3 linked regions of the Arabidopsis thaliana genome follow. The protein of the gene in region 2 interacts with the protein of the main gene of each other region in a pairwise test. Each region holds a gene or a part of one and is shown on either strand. Other genes may lie near its edges. The genes, in order: ENODL15, AT5G42000 and VP2.

The links.
Region 1: the proteins of AT5G42000 (region 2) and ENODL15 interact in a protein complementation assay, tested with the Arabidopsis thaliana proteins (one large-scale study listed by BioGRID).
Region 3: the proteins of AT5G42000 (region 2) and VP2 interact in a protein complementation assay, tested with the Arabidopsis thaliana proteins (one large-scale study listed by BioGRID).

The regions. Positions count from the first base shown.
Region 1 is NC_003075.7:15,399,390-15,403,922, forward strand, and holds ENODL15 (early nodulin-like protein 15), read left to right. Parts: upstream 1-2,250; 5' UTR 2,251-2,408; coding exon 2,409-2,592; intron 2,593-2,687; coding exon 2,688-3,037; 3' UTR 3,038-3,240; downstream 3,241-4,533. Other genes in the region: AT4G31830 (uncharacterized protein), read right to left, coding at 1,414-1,716; PGR3 (proton gradient regulation 3), read left to right, coding at 3,631-4,533. UniProt on the Arabidopsis thaliana protein: May act as a carbohydrate transporter. Required, together with ENODL11, ENODL12, ENODL13, ENODL14 and ENODL15, for male-female communication and pollen tube reception and burst at the synergid cell surface of the female gametophyte.
Region 2 is NC_003076.8:16,797,315-16,803,026, reverse strand, and holds AT5G42000 (ORMDL family protein), read right to left. Parts: upstream 3,810-5,712; 5' UTR 3,573-3,809; coding exon 3,396-3,572; intron 3,315-3,395; coding exon 3,166-3,314; coding exon of another isoform or gene 3,162-3,165; exon of another isoform or gene 2,485-3,161; coding exon 2,346-2,484; 3' UTR 1,925-2,345; downstream 1-1,924. Other genes in the region: AT5G42010 (Transducin/WD40 repeat-like superfamily protein), read right to left, coding at 1-747; WNK8 (with no lysine (K) kinase 8), read left to right, coding at 5,465-5,554.
Region 3 is NC_003070.9:29,669,291-29,678,505, forward strand, and holds VP2 (vacuolar H+-pyrophosphatase 2), read left to right. Parts: upstream 1-2,204; 5' UTR 2,205-2,401; intron 2,402-2,489; exon of another isoform or gene 2,490-2,701; intron 2,702-2,795; 5' UTR 2,796-3,049; coding exon 3,050-3,148; intron 3,149-3,318; coding exon 3,319-3,522; intron 3,523-3,632; coding exon 3,633-3,784; intron 3,785-3,872; coding exon 3,873-4,020; intron 4,021-4,096; coding exon 4,097-4,229; intron 4,230-4,550; coding exon 4,551-4,723; intron 4,724-4,872; coding exon 4,873-4,993; intron 4,994-5,485; coding exon 5,486-5,673; intron 5,674-5,853; coding exon 5,854-6,291; intron 6,292-6,371; coding exon 6,372-6,536; intron 6,537-6,612; coding exon 6,613-6,768; intron 6,769-6,853; coding exon 6,854-6,965; intron 6,966-7,065; coding exon 7,066-7,285; intron 7,286-7,371; coding exon 7,372-7,471; 3' UTR 7,472-7,541; exon of another isoform or gene 7,542-7,658; coding exon of another isoform or gene 7,659-8,128; 3' UTR 8,129-8,225; downstream 8,226-9,215. Other genes in the region: AT1G78915 (Tetratricopeptide repeat (TPR)-like superfamily protein), read right to left, coding at 172-234, 336-405, 461-511, 630-709, 824-929, 1,199-1,286, 1,448-1,485, 1,571-1,599 and 1 more; AT1G78922 (uncharacterized protein), read right to left, coding at 7,659-8,128, 8,226-8,326, 8,428-8,525; AT1G78930 (Mitochondrial transcription termination factor family protein), read right to left, coding at 8,995-9,215. UniProt on the Arabidopsis thaliana protein: Pyrophosphatase active in both inorganic pyrophosphate hydrolysis and H(+) translocation.

The sequences.
Region 1 (4,533 bases), on a different chromosome or scaffold from region 2:
ATGAAATAAAATGATAGAAGACTCCACCAATATGGAGAAGACTCAATTGGATGTTTTGTAATAGTGGTGTGAGTTTCGTAATAGTAAGCTGTATTTGCCAAATGACGAAATGTTATCATATGGGTTTGAGGAATAAGTACACAAACCCTATTATCCAAGTAAAAAATAACGTGGCCATTTGTTTTATTTTGCACAAAACAATGTATATATATAATGTACGTATCTATTAAATTTGTAGCTCTAATTAATATTTACGAGTGAGAGAGTTGATTCTAATGACGTTACATACCAAACTTATGCAAAATCTCATTTAAGTCATTGAATTTCTATCTTTTTGTTATTGAAAAATTGGAAAGTGAAGATTTTAGATATTTAATTGTTAGTCATGAGTTATGGCTTATGGACGAGCCGTTAGATATGTTTCTAAGTAGTGGATACTTGAACTGAAGCTTTTAGTAGTAGTACTTTGAATGTTTTATCAGAATTGATTAGAAAGTAAACGATGATCAGCCTAATTTAAAGACGAAAATGTTGATTTATAAATAAAATGTGTGCAGTTGGTGAGGAGAGAAAAAAAAGTTTGTCGTCCAGGTTTTATGCTCATAAAGCAACACATGAGTGTTTCTACCTAACAGCCTATGTCAATACACTTACTTTTCTGGGCCATTAAGTGGACTCACCTAATTTTTTCATATTTATAACGTTACGATCTTATTTTATGCCAATCAACGTTTTTTAAAGACATGCGAATCACCAATTGTCTCATAGAATCAACTTGCTATTATTTTGTAGTTGACTAAAAAATTACTATTTCTTTCCTTAAACTTTTATTTGGCACTTGACAGTAAGTAATCAAGACCACATTGCCGATTCAAAATAATCACACCGTTCGAAATTTTCAAATTGAGTTTTCTTGTTAGAGAATTTACCCTAAAACTAAATCAAAACCAAACTGAATAAATTCCATAAACAATTGGAATTTTCTATTTTTCATTAAGACTGGAAATATAAAAACGTAATCAAAGTCATATCAAAAGACTGCAAAACCGGATTTGTAGTCTTTGAATGCCATGCATGATGATGCTCTACACATCTTTTAGGATATGGCCCAAAAATATTAATACGCAAAAGAAGCCCACAATAATGGCCCTACTTTTAAGCGACATAACACAGAGAAATGTAGAGGATTCGGTGATCTAAATTATACGCATGCATTTGCTACACAAGACTACTCTATTCCTCCCATTTTATTCTTCTGCTTGCTCTAGTAGTTGACATAAGCCATTCTTGGACACGTTATGTTATTTTATTACAAGTAAATAAGAAGTTCCAACAAGAGCATGAAGCAAGAACAAAATTACAAAAGCAAAAAAAGAAGAAGAAGATAAACCCTTTAATTCTTCCCTTGAAATTTTACTTTCTTGGATGTGTATCTTCAGGTTTAGCCGTCCCTGTGGCAGCCTTAGCTACATCAGTGGCAGTGGCTTCCGGCTTCTTCTTAGCATACATAACAGTGTACATGATGGCCCCCGAGATAGCTAATCCGGCTAGAGCCATCGTCGTGTAACTGTATGGCAAGTTACGGCGTTGATGAAGAACACCACCTGGATTACTTCCTGGCGGCCTCTTTGATGACTCAACGCCGGCAGCTTTTACTCCCTCCGAGCTCATCTTCGTCGTATCTGCTGTTTTTCTCCAGTCTTCTTCTCCGGCCATGCTTATGCCTTCTTCAGTATTTTTTTGGTTGGGACTATACTAATCATGGAAAATTCAGCTTTAGCTATAGGTTTTTGGATATAGTAAGAGTCACGAAGACACGTAGTGTCGTTGGAGTTTGTTAATGTGTTCAATAAGGGACACCTAGCTGATTCTCTTTATTTTCTGTAATAAACATATTAGGCAGGTGTCATGCCTTAGAATCGTAACTAAGCCAGGTGCCAAATTGGGTCTGGACTTTTAACTATAATCAAAATTTATGCCCAAAGTTGGAGGTTTTTGTCTTCTGCTTCTCATATGGGCTTTAGGCGATATGTCTTTTATTCATCTTTTATCAACTTCAAGGCCCAATAAACCCAGTTCCCACTAGCAAACAAAAAGTAAAGTACAAAAACAAAAAACAGAAACAGCTTAGCTTGACCAGTCTTCCTAGAAGACCGTGAAATCACTTTCTCTATCAGAGTTCAAGTTTTGTCGCTCAATCCTAACCGTTACGTTGCCTTTATCATCTCTCCAACGGATACATTAACATTTACCATTTTTTCCTTTTAATTTTTCGTAATTCCTAAACGGCTAGTTTCCAAGTCCTCTACCTTTATATAAACCACACAAGATCCACACTCTCTCCATCCTCAACACACTTTAAAACACATTACACACTCTAATACTTTTAAGGTTTTAGATTCTAATCAATGGCTTCTTCTTCTCTTTTGGTCACCATCTTCCTCTGCATCTCTGTCTTCTTCTTTTCGTCCGTGAATGCAAATGAGGTTACCGTCGGTGGAAAATCCGGTGACTGGAAGATCCCTCCTTCCTCTTCTTTCTCCTTTAACGAATGGGCTCAAAAGGCTCGCTTCAAAGTCGGCGACTTTATCGGTAAATCCATAATTTTCAACTTTTTTTTTTCAATTAGACATTTTGTGTGATCTTCAATATACTCTGTTTCTGACATCGTCACATGTTTATTACAGTATTCAAGTACGAAGCCGGTAAAGACTCGGTTTTGCAAGTGACACGAGAAGCATACGAGAAATGCAACACCACTAGCCCTAAAGCCAGCTACACCGACGGGAACACAAAGGTGAAGCTTGACCAAGCTGGTCCGGTCTACTTCGTCAGTGGAACAGAGGGTCATTGTCAAAAGGGTCAGAAGCTACGCCTAGTCGTCATCACTCCTCGTAACTCTGCTTTCTCTCCAGGTCCTTCGCCATCTGAGTTCGACGGTCCAGCCGTAGCTCCTACTAGTGGTGCCGCTAAGCTCGCCGGCGGATTTAGTGTCGTATTTGGGCTTGTTCTTGGATTATGGGCCTTCTTCTTTTAAAAGACAATTAGTCTTAATTCTATTTATTAATTTTGGAATATAAAGTAGAAATCTTTGTTATTTACTACATTAAATTTATTTTAATCTAAATTGTTCTTCCTCTTTTTCAATTCTGGATAAATTAGTTGGATCTATCAACAATCAACAAAGAAAACAAAACAAAAGTGAATGAGAATTTTGAATTTAGTACCCAAAAAGGTAATTTACAGCAACACAAAGAAACCTGGACTGTCGTGAAAAGAGGCCTAAAAATGGGCCTGAATTGGGCCTAAAGATATTTTGGGAGGGAAGCAAAACGGTAAGGATCGAGTGGAGCGAGTCTGATTTTATCCTCTCGGCAAGTTTTTTATTATTCTGCTTCGAAAATTCTTTCATCAAAAATCTCCGGTTCACCGAAATCGACTCCCTCGCGCTCTTTTCAGCCGGTGAACGGAGACGAATCAAAATGCTCATAGCTATTCAGCACGTGTTTGTGTTTTGTTAGTTATATCTGCGCCACTTGAAATGTGATGAATCATCATCGTTAATCTCTGTTTTCGTTTCAATTTTTGCCGGAGAATTGAATTGTTTTGCTTGCTTGGCTTATCTCTAGAATGGTCGCGTTACTCTGCTCTGCGAGTTTGTGTGGTGATATATCAGTTGGTGATGCTTGTCTTGTTAGTAACATCAAAGCAAAATGTCGCGATAATTTGGTTACTGGAGGATTAAAGTTCCACGCTTTGAAGATTGGGTCTCGGAAGAAACACTGGAGAAGGAAGAGTATGAGATGTAGTGTAGTCTCCATGAAAAGTTCTGACTTTTCGGGTTCTATGATAAGAAAGAGCTCAAAACCTGATTTGTCATCGAGTGAAGAAGTAACGAGGGGTTTAAAGTCGTTTCCTGATACTGATTCTTCATTTTCGTATTTCAAATCAGTGGCTGGGAATTTGAATTTAGTTCACACTACTGAGACTTGTAACTACATGCTTGAAGCTTTGAGGGTTGATGGTAAACTTGAGGAAATGGCTTATGTGTTTGATTTGATGCAGAAAAGAATCATAAAGAGGGATACTAATACTTACTTGACTATCTTCAAGAGTCTTTCTGTGAAAGGTGGATTGAAGCAAGCACCTTATGCACTTCGGAAGATGAGAGAATTTGGTTTTGTGTTGAATGCATATTCATACAATGGGTTGATTCATCTTCTGCTTAAGTCTAGGTTTTGCACAGAGGCAATGGAGGTTTATAGAAGAATGATCTTGGAAGGTTTTAGACCTAGTTTGCAGACTTACTCTTCACTTATGGTAGGTTTGGGGAAAAGAAGGGATATTGATTCTGTGATGGGTTTACTTAAAGAGATGGAGACTTTGGGGTTAAAGCCGAATGTTTACACCTTTACGATATGTATTCGGGTGCTTGGTAGGGCAGGGAAGATTAATGAAGCATATGAAATACTGAAGCGGATGGATGATGAAGGATGTGGACCTGATGTAGTTACTTACACTGTTCTTATTGAT
Region 2 (5,712 bases):
GACACACAGAGACGAAAGCTCCTTGAATTGCTTCTTAAAAGACTGAACTCGAGTTAATTGCCTCCGTATCGATGATCTCGTTGACTCACCATCAGTGCACTCTTCAGTTTTGTCAAGAACATGAGTTAACACACCTAACTTCTTTAACCACCCTTTAGCTCCTTTTTTAGGCGATTCTTCATAACGACTCATTGGAGAGTTCGGTAAATCTCCATAGCTATCAAACCTACTCGAATCAGATTCACTCAATCCCTCAGCAATGCTACTACTATTACTTGAATAGTCTCTCGTCAGCAAAATCTGATCATCAATGTTCTTGGCACGATTCTGAAAAGAACCTCTGAAACTAAATGCTTCAGCCAAAGATGCAGTTGAGAAAGATGAAACGGAGGATCCAGAGGAAGTAGATTCATTCCTCAACAACTTCTCCTCCTTCTCTTCCTCCTCGTGATCAGTTTCAGACACAGAGGTCAACTGTTTCGAAACCGGAATATGGTCGGAACTAGAGTCTCCCAACAGATCAAGATCAAGATCAAAGTCTCGTTTTTTGAAACTAAAACCCATAGATTGAAAAAACTTTTGTCTACGGTTAGTAACACTCTCTGGATTCATAGTCCAAAGATCTAAATCACCAGTTGCTTGAACAAAGTCATCGGCGACTTCAGAGTTACAATCAGAAACAGATGAAACCTCCTCACGAGCATCAGAAAACCAATCTTCCTCTTCCTCGTTCCCTCGAGTACCCATCTCACAGCTTCTGATCAAAAACACACAGATTTCGTCAGAATTCACAAAGTCAAATATCGGACACAATTGCTGAAAAAGGACAGAAATTTGCAACCATGGTTCGAATAAAACTAATCCACACGTAACACCAAAAGGAAGTAGTAAGATAAACTCATGGCAAATCAATACCATCGGCAAAAAGGAGATTACTTAAGGGTAAAGCAAAGAACCCAACAGAGAAAACGAAGAGTTTATGAGAGATTTACTTACATCTTCACCAAAATCAAACCGGGTTTGAATCAAAATTCTGCTCTTTCTTATAAATAGTCTTTGTCTGGTCAAAATGATTGCATCGAAACGAATGAGTTTAAAACTCTTATCCAAACATTGCGACGATTCGGGTCACGTTTCTTAAAGTCGCAAATCCTTGCGAAGGTTTTTATAAACAAAAGGTTGGGTTTTGAAAGAAAGATATTGGAGAGGGTTTAAGAGCGAGATATTCGGAAATTGAGAGGTTTTGTTTCTTCGATTGTACGAAGAAGAAGAAGAAGAAGAGAGGAAGAGAGAAACAAATAAAACAGAACAAAGATCCTTTCCTTCTTCTTTTGTCTTTTTCTTCTCTCTTGTTTTTTTATTTATTAAAAAACTAATTTTGAAATAGTCAAACATTTGTTTGCACTTACTTAGTCAACATGAATATTCTAATCCCACTTTTATTTCAATAATCATATGTTGATTTGTCTTTCTTTAATGTATTTTTACTTTTCTTCTCTTGATTTGAGATAAACGACATTATACTACATCTTAATTTAAGAAAAATTGATCTTTCCCATTATTTTTTTTTGTTTTTCCACGTTTTGATTTGGTCATTGTTTGTTTTAGTTATTTGCCTATTGATAGATGAACAAATTCTAGTCTTTTTTGTGTGAGTCAATATCGATATATGTTACCCACCTATTCACTAAACAATTAGGAACAAGGTGATAACTCAGGGTACAAATGGACAAATTGTTTTTAAAAATTCCCTATTGTTTTTAATTTGGTTTAATGTCATCTAATTATTCATTTACACACTAACAGTAAATTTGAATATAAAAAAAAAATATTGTTTTCAGGTGGTGGGAACACGATTTTGTCAATTTCCCTTTTGAGCTCAATACATTACCTCACGTGTGCTAAAATGTCTTTACCCTTGTCACTAACGTAATTCACCAACAACAACAAAATCATCGGATTTAGTTATAAAGATGATATATATATATATATCAAAAACGGTATATATAAATAAATCTTCCCCAACTATTCATTCAAACCCTAGATTGCTCGCTAAACAACTTTCTGTTGTAACCAGTTTTGGGATTATACAAATAAGAAACTAAGAGAACCACAAAAGAGATCAAATATGAATTGATTAGAAGCCCCAAACAAAGAGTAGAAAGGTTTGAATATGCGATGATGGGATGTGACCAAATAACACATTTTCTCCGGTTAAGGGATTCAATGTCTGTATAGTACAGACATGTTGAATGATGATGATGGCATTTGTTGTTGGATTCCACATTCCAAATACTCTGATTCGCATTATACACAGACCTTTTTCTTTGTTTTCTCAAGTTTTTTCATTGGTCTCCATTGATTCCAAATATGCGGACCTTGTGCATGTGCGGGAATTTCGCAACCACCATGACAAATACAGCCAGTGTGTTGAGAAAGAGCATCGGGTGCTGATAGTCTGTTGTGTGAGAGGCTATCAAGTACCTACATACAAAGTTTGGTCAGACTTTTATGTCACAAAGATCCAATCATTGATTACATATTCGTCACACACAACACAATTGAGGTATTCCACTACACATAATCTAGTAGTGCTTCTTTTAAGAGAGATTCAGCAAACTCATAACAGACCTTATGTCTTGTACGAATGTCTAAATCTAAATCTAAATCCAAGGCTCTTGAGCACTAGCTAAAAGACCTTAATAATCAAGCGAGTTTAATCATAGTAGGAAACTTAGGTCCAACCCTAATCAGTGAACAGATTTGAAGCACTAGTCAACAAACAGAAATCAAAATGAGAAGAACGGTAGTGTCTTGACTCTTGTGTATCTGATTGTCATGTCAAAATGTATTCTGTGTAGTAATAATTGCAAATCAAATTGTCAAAACAACCACTTCACCTAGGAATAGAATTGTAATTAAGCTCATTGACTAGCATCTCTATATAACCAGATGTAAAATGAGCTACAATAAGATAAAGAACAAGTAGGTAGGGAAACGAAGATCAATGTATCTCTAAAACATAACTTAAGCAAAAATTACACCAAATACAGAAACAATCATAGAAAATAAGGTAAGGCATTCAATTTTTCGATACTGAACAAGATCAACAAGAGATGATGATGCAAAACAAAATCCTAATGAGATATGAGAGAAGGAACTTACAAGACAACAGGAACAACGGTGAGAAATTTGCGATTACGTGTAAGCTGCTTGCCATTATCAATCTGTTCCCACCAAGTCAATCTATTATAGACTCCTTGATCATCTCCAAATGGTGTTCCCTTCTTCCAATGGAAGGAATGATACGTGACCTAGAAAACAAAAAAACTCAAAAATTCAAATCTAGAAACCAACAATTTCGAAATTGGATCGGAGGAGATCGGGAATAATACGGTGAAATGAGCGAGATGAACAATGGTCCAAGCGATGCCAGGAGAACAATGGAAGACGGAGAGAACGAGGAGCCAAGAGAAGAAGAGGATGAGAATATAAGTAGTCCAAACACCAGGATATGTGAACCACTCTGTGTTCCGATTCACATCCGTCGTCGGAAGTGCTCTTACGTACATCGTCTTTTTCACCGGAGGGATTTGGAAGAAGATCGGAGATGATGATTGATGAATCGTCGTTGAGCAAGTTTTCTTTCTTCTTTGTTTTTTTTTTCTCTGCTGCGTTCTTTGGGCTCTTTCTGGGCTTTTTATTTTCTACAATTTTTTTAAAAAGAAGCATTAAATTAAAATAGGAAGGTGGTTGGGTGGCTCACCGATCTTAGCCTAAAACAATGATTATCAGTAACTCTGTCTCAAGACTCTCAACGCGTCACTCGATAAACCACGACGACTCATATTTTTAATTTATTGGACTTTTCTTGTCAGCTTACATAGAGGCCCATTACAAAACACACCGGTTTTCCGACCCGACCCGTACCTTTTCATCCGATAATTTAATTTACATTTTCAAAATATGTTCTGAAGTTAATTCTTGACCATATTAGTAAGAGTTATTTCATTTTATTTTTGAACAAATTTTAGCTGCCAAATTTCGAAATCCTTTTTTTTTTGCTACCAAATTTTCCATCCAGTGCTTCCGTGAAAAATATTTCGAATAAAATACCATTTTAAAAAACATCTTCGAATAAATATCTAAAATTATCAGTTTTTTGTTCTTCTCATATTTTCAACTTGATGAGGATTAGATTTAGATTCACCTAATGATTACAATAAACACGATTAAGCCTCGTTGGTTTTTTAAGACAAACTTACAATTTTTTTGTTTTTTCTTTTCTTCATCACACACTCTGTCTCACCAACTTATTCAATAAAAGCAATTGGACTTTTAACACAAAATATATTATTCAACGACAAAATGATTTCGTATTAATGCTATACTATCCAAGGTTCATTAAATTTGAACTAGCTATATCTTTTTATTAAACTTATAGAATTTAGATTCCACAATTTCTTGATTTCCATGCACAGAAAAAAAACTTTAAATAGATTACTATTCCCTCTAATTAAAATATAAGATGTTATAAAAGTTTATCTTTTAAATATTAAAAAATATTTTGTTAGTTTCTATGAAAATTAAATGTATTTGATAATTTGTGATCATTTATATTCTGCAGTTTTTTCTTATGATTAGTTAAAATTTTTAATTCTATAAATAATATTTTTTAGAAAGAATGATCTTAATATGTGTGATTGTTTTAAACATTTTATATTTTGAAACAAAGGAAATAACATCGTATTTCTGAGGATTTACATAATGTTTTTTTTTTGGTGCACCTAGCATAATGTTTTATTAGTAGAAATTATTCATAACCTGAAACATGTAATTGCATAAATGGCCTAAAGTCAGCTGAAATAAAATGAAAACAGAGGATACATAATTAGTAGAATAATCTCAAATATAAGAGAAAGTGCGTTAGTTGATAAAGACAGATAATTTGACTTTCCGATTTATTTGGCCGCCAACCTTTTTTTGTTTTGTTCTTCCTAAATTCCCTTTCTCCGAAATTCCTTTCATTGATTTCATCATCATCATCATCCTTCGTTTTTTCTCTATCGATCTAGCAGATTCTTTCGGGGACCAAAATCAAAATCATGGTGGATCATCAATGGAAGGATTTAATCGGATAAAAGAGAAGAGACGGAATCACGACGGGAGAAGAGATCGGGAAATCGGAAAATCGGAGATGATGGGGATTTCTTTCGCCGCCAAACTCCGTTTCCGATCTCGATTTCGAACTTCTTCAATCGATTCTTATTGCTTCGCTCGTGAGGCTTTCTCCGATTGTATCTCCTCCGTCCATTTCTTCTTCTTATAACCTTTTTCTTTGTAATAACCTCCGTCCTCTTCAGCTTTCTTTCTTTTCATCTTCAATCTCACCTTAAATTCTCCACTTTTTTCTTCTTCTCCTTCTGTTCTCGATTGCTTTGTTTGTTGTGTTGTGCATACATATATGGCTTCTGGTTCTGGATTTTTAGGTCAGATATCGTCCATGGAAGAGGCTGATTTTGCCGAGAAAGATCCTTCTGGCCGTTACATCAGGGTACGTCACTGTCTTCGTTGATTCATGTGTGAATTTGCATTCAATCTCGTTTGGTTGAGTGTTTTTTATTGTTGAATTATGAGGAAATTGATCAGAATTTGAGAATTTTGACCTAGTTTAATGAGTTCTCTTTGTAGTTCTACCTAATGAGGGCTGTT
Region 3 (9,215 bases), on a different chromosome or scaffold from region 2:
AAACAGAAAAGTTCCATGCAATTTAAGATGTGGAGGTAAGAACTGTTACATACTACCTGATTATTAGTTTAAGTTGTTCCTTGTTACTATTGGAAGCCTACAGATGAATGGCTAAATGCCGATGAAGAAGATATTTAATAGTATGCACAACATGCGCATGTTATCACTCACCTCCAGAGCAGCTTGATCCTGAGGCGTGCCATTGAGAGTTGTTTCAAACTCTTTGAGCCTTTGCTGCAAAATGAAAAAAAATCGAGATGTTTACTACGTATCTTACTTTATTCAGATTATCAAAGTTCATGAACGAAATCTTCATGATCAGCCCCTAATATTACCTGAAGCGTGGCTTTCTCTTCTTCTGAAATTTGATTTTTAACTACTGTTGTGTTCTTAGTTGGACTATCACTGAAAAGTGGTAAAAACATTGTTAGAACTGACACCGGCTAAATTACATGACAACATGACTTGGTATGACAAAAATGTGAAATTACGGAAACCAACCCAGCTGATCCTAAGAACATATGATGTCATCAGAATCTTTACACAAACAATTACAAACTGGAATAAAAAGAAGGAAAATGACAAACAGTAACATGGTGTAAATGACACAGTTATGACTTGGACTTCACTTAACGCACCTTCCCGTGGGAAGAAAGTCACCAAGAGCAAAAACCAAACCAAATACAACAACAGCTATGCCAACTCCAACCTGTCATGGCATGGGCCCAAGTTTTGTCATGTTATGTATGAGTAGCTTATAGGCCTCAAGTGGTTTTAGAACAAAATAAAAAATAAACACTTGCAAGATGTTATGTATGCGTACCTTAGTACCAAGACCAATTGTTTTCTGGTCAGACTTGACTGGTGCATCATAGTCAATTGGACCAAATTCTTTAACTACTTCTGTCTTTTTCTGCTCAAGAGCTGACCTGATTCATCAAAAGAGCAGAGGTCACAGAAATAACATTCCGATCAGTGGGAGGACAATGATCTTGACTATGTCTAGGGGGTGAGGGAAGTGGAAAGCAAGACAAGTGATGAACAAATCAAGAAAAAAAAAGAATCAAACTTTCATAGGAAGATCATGTCGTTGTGGGTATAATGAGAAAGTCAAGTGTGATTGTCAGAGGAATAATCCTATTGTAACCTATATATCTCTAAAGCCAATCTTCATGCTAGAATCATAAAACATAGGTACCTTCTGATGTTTTCCAGCCGTTCATCGAAGTCTATATCAAAAGATCGACCAGATTTTCCTTCAAACTGAGTATTCAGACCAGGTGCCTCTGCAAACAAATGCAGGAGTTTCTTGAGCAAACCTTTCAATTGAAACCAACTTTTTGAGATAAACTGAAGAATGCAAAAATGAAGTTATGTTCGAGACACCATGAAGGAGAGCAGCAACATCTGTTACGTACAATATGCTTTAAAATCAAATTATACTTACTTCTGGGTACAGAAACAGACTGTTTAGAAGATGATTTCCTGCAGCAAAGAAGTCCATATGAAAATATAACAACAGCAATTTAAAATTCTAAATGCTTTAAACAAACACAAAAACTATTTATACCTTTGCTGCAATGCCGGGTCTTTCTCTTCCTGTGATGCGATTTCACATTTTTGTCTCAGTACTTTGAATCAACAAAATTAAGTTGAACAAAGAAGAATTTGGAATCAAACCTTTTTTGAGCCGAAGCCACGCTTAGGGTTAGAATCCGAGCAACGTATTCGAAATAGGAGAAGCTTCGAGTTAAATGAAACGGAGGTCGTCGCCGCTAGTGTCATCAACATCCTCTGTTTGTATTGTCCTAACCAAAACAGAGAATTTTCTAAGAAAGTTTCAAAGAAATAATGAGAAGTAACGGCTACGAAGAGAAATTCGTCCGCCGGAGATTGACGATGAAAGGTGAGCTCCGTGATCGGGCCGGTAAGATAACGTTAGTGGTTCTTCTTCTTCTTCACTTTGCAGATTGTCTATTATATGGGCCGAATGGCAAAACATAATTTTGGGCTAGGCCCATATAATATTCAAATGTTAATATTCCAAAATTGATGGGTATTTTTGATAATTTAACTCGATCTATATAATTTAACAAACGAGGATGATTTTAAGTTTTTAACTTTTTAAGTGAGAATAGTGATTAAGTGTCAACGACTCATTGGATAGGATGTGTCATAAAATTAGTATTGAACCACTGAGGAGTGAAAATAAAATTAAAGGTAGAAAAATTAATTTAGGAAAAAAATATTCGGAAAGTTCTGTGAAAAGTCTTCGGATTTAGAACGGAGACAGCGAGAGGATAGAGCGCTTCTTCGGCTACAACAAGCTTTCGCTAATGGCGGTTTCCTTCTGATCACTCTCACCGGAGCCGTCATCTTCTCTGTTTTACCGATTTTTAGGGTTTGTTTCCGGATAAACTCTTCGTATGCTTTTTTTTTTTCGTTGGATTCGTTTCTGGAAACGTATCCATTTCCTGTCTAGAGATCATGTGAATTTCTCTTAGAACAGAACTCAGATCTAAATTAAAGTAACGGTGCTTGATTCATTAAACTCGGAATGCAAAGTCCCTTGCGTTTTATTCACTGAAATCTTAGTCGATTAGATCTTGAGGTCTGTTTGTTAATCGCACTTTTCTGGGGAATTGATCGTAGAAGCAATTACGCTCATGGGAAATGATGAAAGTTATAGCTAAACTTTACTGTAGAACCTTACTCTGATTATATTTCATTTAAAAATGCTATTTGGTTGGTAAAGAGAAACATCACAACTTTTCATACTTTTCTATTTTTTTCAGAAATTTTGATTGTGGTGGAAACTTGTTGTGGCAACTCTACTGAGAAAGTTTGAAGAAGCTGGAATCAAAGATATAGCTAGAGTTAAGAGGGTTCATACTAACTTGTGCTCGTTTTGTGATGTGCTGTTGTTAACGTTTGGAGGAAAAAGTTGTAGTGTATTAAAATTCAGCGTCCGAGTTCTGGGGCGGAGTTGCCCCATAGCATTGACTTTACGCCTCTACACATAGTCCGAAGGGCTAATTCAGCTCAAAACATGATGATGGATGAAGATGTTGAGCAGGCCAGTTTGATGTCTTTCAATGACAGGCCTAGGGCTTTTCCCAACATGCGTAGTAAAACCTATAGTCCACTGGTACAACTTTTATTCCTCTCTTTCTTGAGTGCTTTTCTTTTTGCTTGCATCAGATCACTGAGATGCGTATTATAACTAGTTTCCTTCTATTTCGTTTAGCATCTTAGTTTCTTGAGCATCTCGTTTTCATTTTCTTTGAAATTGTATAAAGTTTAGTTGTTTTTTGGCAGATATTCCGGATTATTAGGAAATTAAATGTCCGTGTCCTTTCGATAATTCTGCTTTTCTGCTTCGGAGCAATCTTTTACATGGGGGCAAGTACTTCTCCCATCATCGTGTTCGTCTTCACAGTATGCATCATCAGCTTCCTTTTGTCAATATATCTAACCAAGTGGGTTTTAGCGAAAGATGAAGGACCTCCAGAGATGGTTGAGGTAAGCTCACTCAGATTATGTGGTGTTAGTCATGATGTTGACATTTTTCCTTCTTTGTTCTCATCAAAAATTTGTAATTCTAATTTGTGAGGTAATTCTCTTACTTATAGATATCAGATGCTATACGTGATGGAGCTGAAGGTTTTTTCAGAACGCAGTATAGCACTATATCCAAGATGGCCATTTTGCTAGCTTTTGTGATTCTTTGCATATATCTATTCCGTAGCTTAACTCCCCAGCAAGAGGCTGCTGGTTTAGGAAGGTGCTGATACATGATTACATTCACAAGATTTATTTTATCTTTTGAATTGTTGTGAATGAAGCTTAGCCATATTACTATTTTGCTGCAGGGCGATGTCTGCTTATATTACTGTTGCTGCATTTCTTTTGGGGGCTCTATGCTCAGGTATTGCTGGATATGTTGGAATGTGGGTGTCAGTTCGTGCTAATGTGCGGGTCTCCAGTGCTGCCAGACGATCTGCGAGAGAAGCATTGCAGGTTCTTCTTTAGTTTAGCTATTTTGGTAACATGTCATGTACACGTTTCCAAATACTAAGTGGCAGATATAATGCAGATAGCCGTTCGTGCTGGTGGGTTTTCAGCCCTGGTTGTTGTTGGTATGGCTGTGATTGGTATCGCCATCCTCTATTCTACATTTTATGTGTGGTTGGGCGTGGGTTCACCAGGCTCAATGAATGTTACTGACCGTAAGTCTTCTGCTCTTTTTTTTTTATGAAAAATATTCATTTTCGTCTTGTGTGTATATTCTATAATCATTGTACTGAGTTTCAAAAAGTTATTGTTATCTTTTCAAAGGATCATTTTCAGACATGAGCAGTATTTTCTTAAATATGTCATGACTTGTATTAATCTTGATTGAGGTGGGGTACCAATACAGTTCTAAGATTTTCAGTGAACCCTATATGTAATTCTCTTGATTTATTGACCAGAATTTGCATTTGCATGGGCGATAGTGGAGCTATTAAACTTGTAAGATTTATTGATTGAATTTTCTGTTTCTCTTACAGTACCTCTTCTTCTTGTCGGATATGGTTTTGGTGCTTCGTTTGTTGCCTTATTTGCTCAGTTGGGTGGTGGAATATATACTAAGGGAGCTGATGTTGGGGCAGATCTCGTTGGGAAAGTTGAGCAGGGAATTCCCGAGGATGATCCTCGAAATCCTGCTGTTATTGCTGATTTGGTATTTGATCTTTGTTCTTTTTGTTTCTTACTTTCTTGATTCTGTGATTCCCAAACGTGACATCCTTGTTTGGGGCATATATCACTCTACAAGGGTTTGCTTGTGTTTTCGTCATTTAGGCATTTAAAGCCATTTTCATCTTCTTGTAGGTTGGAGACAATGTGGGGGACTGTGCTGCTAGAGGTGCTGATTTATTTGAAAGTATAGCTGCAGAAATCATCAGTGCAATGATACTAGGTGGAACAATGGCTAAGAAGTGCAAAATTGAAGGTGCACCATCTCTCTTTAAAGTTACTTCTGGTATATGCAAATATATAACTTATGGTGTGAGTTCCTGACTCATACCGAGAAAATTAAATGAACTGCTAGGATTTTATAATCTGAAATGCAAACTTAGGAAGAGTTGCATAGAGAGTTCAAGCTCGTAAATTACATTCTGTATACAGAATAATCTACGCTTTATTGCATGTTTTGGTCACTCCTTGAGGATTTGAGGGTACATTATTACTTGTTAGGATTTAAAAAGTCGACATAAGTTGTATAGAGTTATTGTTTGAAGCACCTTGTACGAACCTGCTATGCATTGTGTGAAAATTGAAGGAAGACTACTTTTCATGACAGCAAGCTACACTTGGCTGCAGTCAAAAAATTTCAATAACATTACCCATTTCTAGCAGTGGTTGTTAGATATGCGCTGATAAACATCCTATTAAACCTCTTGTTCATGCTTGATACTTACTCAAATCTTTCTCTATTATGCAGATCCATCAGGCTTTATCCTTTTTCCTCTAGTTGTTCATTCTTTTGACTTGATTATATCCTCAATTGGTATTCTATCAATCAAGGGAACACGTGATGCTAGTGTGAAATCTCCGGTAGAGGATCCAATGGCTGTACTTCAGAAAGGATATTCTCTGACAATTATATTAGCTGTTATAACATTTGGCGCGGTAATGTTGTCACACATAACCATTGATTGTCTTGTTCCTTTCATTCTTTTTACAATTAATTCTGCTTTTTATGGGCTTTTTGGTTCAGACTTTTCATTAGCCTACACTAGCCTTGTTATTACTGAAATTTCGAACAAATTCTTTGCTATATTCTTCTGACAGCATTATTTATGTTTGTAGTCGACTCGCTGGCTGCTTTACACTGAACAAGCTCCATCTGCATGGTTCAATTTCGCCCTATGTGGGTTGGTTGGCATCATCACAGCCTATATCTTTGTCTGGATATCCAAATATTATACAGACTATAAGCACGAGCCTGTTCGGACGTTGGCTCTTGCTAGCTCGACTGGTCATGGGACTAATATCATTGCTGGAGTAAGCTTGGGCCTGGAATCAACTGCTCTTCCAGTTTTGACTATAAGTGTAGCTATTATTTCTGCGTATTGGTTGGGCAATACCTCGGGTCTAGTGGACGAAAATGGTATTCCCACTGGAGGTCTATTTGGAACAGCCGTTGCTACAATGGGAATGCTAAGCACTGCAGCTTATGTCCTTACTATGGACATGTTTGGCCCCATAGCTGACAACGCTGGTGGGATTGTCGAGATGAGCCAGCAGGTAAGATGTCACATGATTGGCTTGAAAGGCTCTTATGTTCCATCTTTATTCTATGTAGAAATAATAAATGTTTCGTGCAGCCAGAGAGTGTCCGTGAGATCACTGATCTTCTTGATGCTGTTGGGAACACCACAAAAGCAACAACGAAAGGGTTTGCCATTGGATCTGCTGCACTTGCATCATTCCTTCTCTTTAGTGCGTATATGGACGAGGTTTCAGCGTTTGCTAATGTGTCTTTCAAAGAGGTAGATTTCGTTATGCATCGTTGCTGTATTCTCGATGTTGAGACAACTTCTCATACTCATCCTCGGATAAAATCAGGTTGATATTGCTATCCCAGAAGTGTTCGTTGGTGGATTATTGGGTGCCATGCTTATTTTCCTCTTTAGTGCTTGGGCATGCGCGGCAGTTGGTCGAACTGCACAAGAGGTTGTCAACGAAGTAAGAAGGCAATTTATTGAGAGGCCTGGCATAATGGTGAGCATATTTTTCCTTTTGAGTGCTTCACCTTTTCTTGTGTATTGGCTTGTACCGTTGTTGACTAGCAAATATCTTGTTGCAGGAGTACAAGGAGAAGCCAGATTATAGTCGCTGTGTCGCCATAGTCGCATCTGCAGCTTTAAGAGAAATGATAAAGCCAGGAGCTTTAGCTATTGCATCACCCATTGTAGTTGGTAAGTCAGTAATATCTACTCGTTTTTCTTTACTTACTGTATTGAAAGTTTGAAACCACAACATTGTGACCAAAAACAAACCTCTTGTTCTCTCTTTCAGGTTTGGTGTTTCGAATCTTGGGTTACTACACAGGACAACCTCTGCTCGGAGCAAAAGTTGTAGCTTCTATGCTCATGTTTGCAACAGTTTGTGGTATCTTAATGGCACTTTTCCTAAACACGGCGGGAGGTGCTTGGGACAATGCAAAGAAATACATAGAGACCGGGGCACTTGGGGGCAAAGGAAGTGAAGCTCACAAAGCAGCTGTGACTGGTGATACGTAAGTATTTTCGTTCTACTTCAACACTCATTCAAAGTTATATTCCTGAATACGATTTCTCATTAGAATTCATCTGAAAATTGTAGCGTGGGAGATCCGTTCAAGGACACAGCCGGTCCATCCATTCACGTCCTCATAAAAATGCTTGCGACTATAACTCTCGTCATGGCTCCGGTTTTCCTCTGAAAGTGAACCGTTACTTATCCATCCCGGCTTATTTACTCTCTTGCACATATACAAATAGAGAGGGAGAGAGGTTGGTTATAAAATGATTTACATGGATTAATGGTTTTTGTGTTTCATTTCATCTGAATAAATGAGATAATTCTGTTTTTGAGTTTAGAGACACTCTTTAAGGAATTCTAGAGACATTTTAATCAACCACATCTTTGACTTTGAGAGTCTTTATTTTCCTCGATTTAATCTTTCTAGTACTTCTTCTTACTCTTCTTGATTTGCCTCCAACTCGTACAGACAATTGTCTACTCGGTAGTCTTATGAGACGGCGGTTGTTGCGATTGCTGCCATGATGGTGGTGGCTGTGTTTGCTTCCTAGTCTTCTTCTTCTCTGCTTTGGTCTAATGTTATCTATTCGACTGGGACTGTCCGATGAACTTGATTCATCATCACTCGGATAATCATAGGTCGTAGCTTCTATATCATCGAGACGTTTTCTGCGACGGTTGACCCGATTTATGTTAGTCAAACTGTGACACAAGCAACTAATCATCTCTCCAATGTCGAACCAGTACGCTGCACAAGCGGCACATGACATTTTGCAGATACTTTTCACAACACATTGGCAAATTCCAAGCTTGAACAGGAGGGTGATGAACATCAAAACTGGGAAAAAGAAACAAATACAAAATTATAGAAAACAAAGGAAAGTTCACAGAATCAATAGTGAATGCTAAAAATCGGAAATAAGAGAAAGGTTTACTTATGAAACAGAGGCTTGACATCAGCACAAGCTTTGCAATATCAGGAAGACAGAAATGTTCTATGAAACACTCAAGATCCCATGGTCCCGAGCATACATCTCTGTAATTTTTAAACAGAAGAGAAATCCTCAAAACATGCGATAGAAAAACAAACCAAAGCGATTTCACGACAGAATTCAGACAATGACGTGAAAATCTTACAAACAGGATCTTCCAAGTGTGGCTTTTAACGGTGCTGTGAAAATATTCCCGATAAAACCTCCGATGTCGTTTGATGCTTTGCCTATAGCGTTTCCCATTTTTGCTTAGAACGGTAATCAGTGACTCGCTCCAATCATTTTCTCAACAATCATGTTTATCAAACGTAAAGAGATAAATAAATTTTCTGTGAATTTTCAGAATATGAATGAAGTTACATCCTCGCGTACAGTTTCAGAAACGAAAGAAAAAAAATTGCGAGAAACCGTTTCCAGAGAGAAAATTCGGCATATTTTTCATAATTTTCAATAAACCGTTTGTTTTTTTTGGTCCAAAAACATGGTAGGAATATTTTGAAAACCCTCGAAAACAATTCATACACTTATACACACACATCAGCCGATTTTTTTTTGGTAAGAAGTTAGGAATTTGTATACAAACACTGGAAGTACATACACTAGCGGTTATATGAACAATGCAAACAGACAAAACTGAAGAAGCTTCAGAGATATCACCAATCTCATTACATAGTGTGATTTTCTCTAAGAAACTTTTTCACCTACAATATAACTACGAGATTTCACTGTGAGTTTGAAGCTCTCCTAAACCCAAGAAATCAGCAGCAAACTCTTCATCGTTTTTGCCTAACATTTCCTGTAATGTACATTCTATGTTCCTCCCTTTGAGTACCCTAAACCGCGGTTTTATCCTTTTCTCTAGCGAGTAACTGAAGTACCTTGGGTATTCTATTACCTCTCTTACCGGCTTCTCCATGCTGTTCACCAGAAATT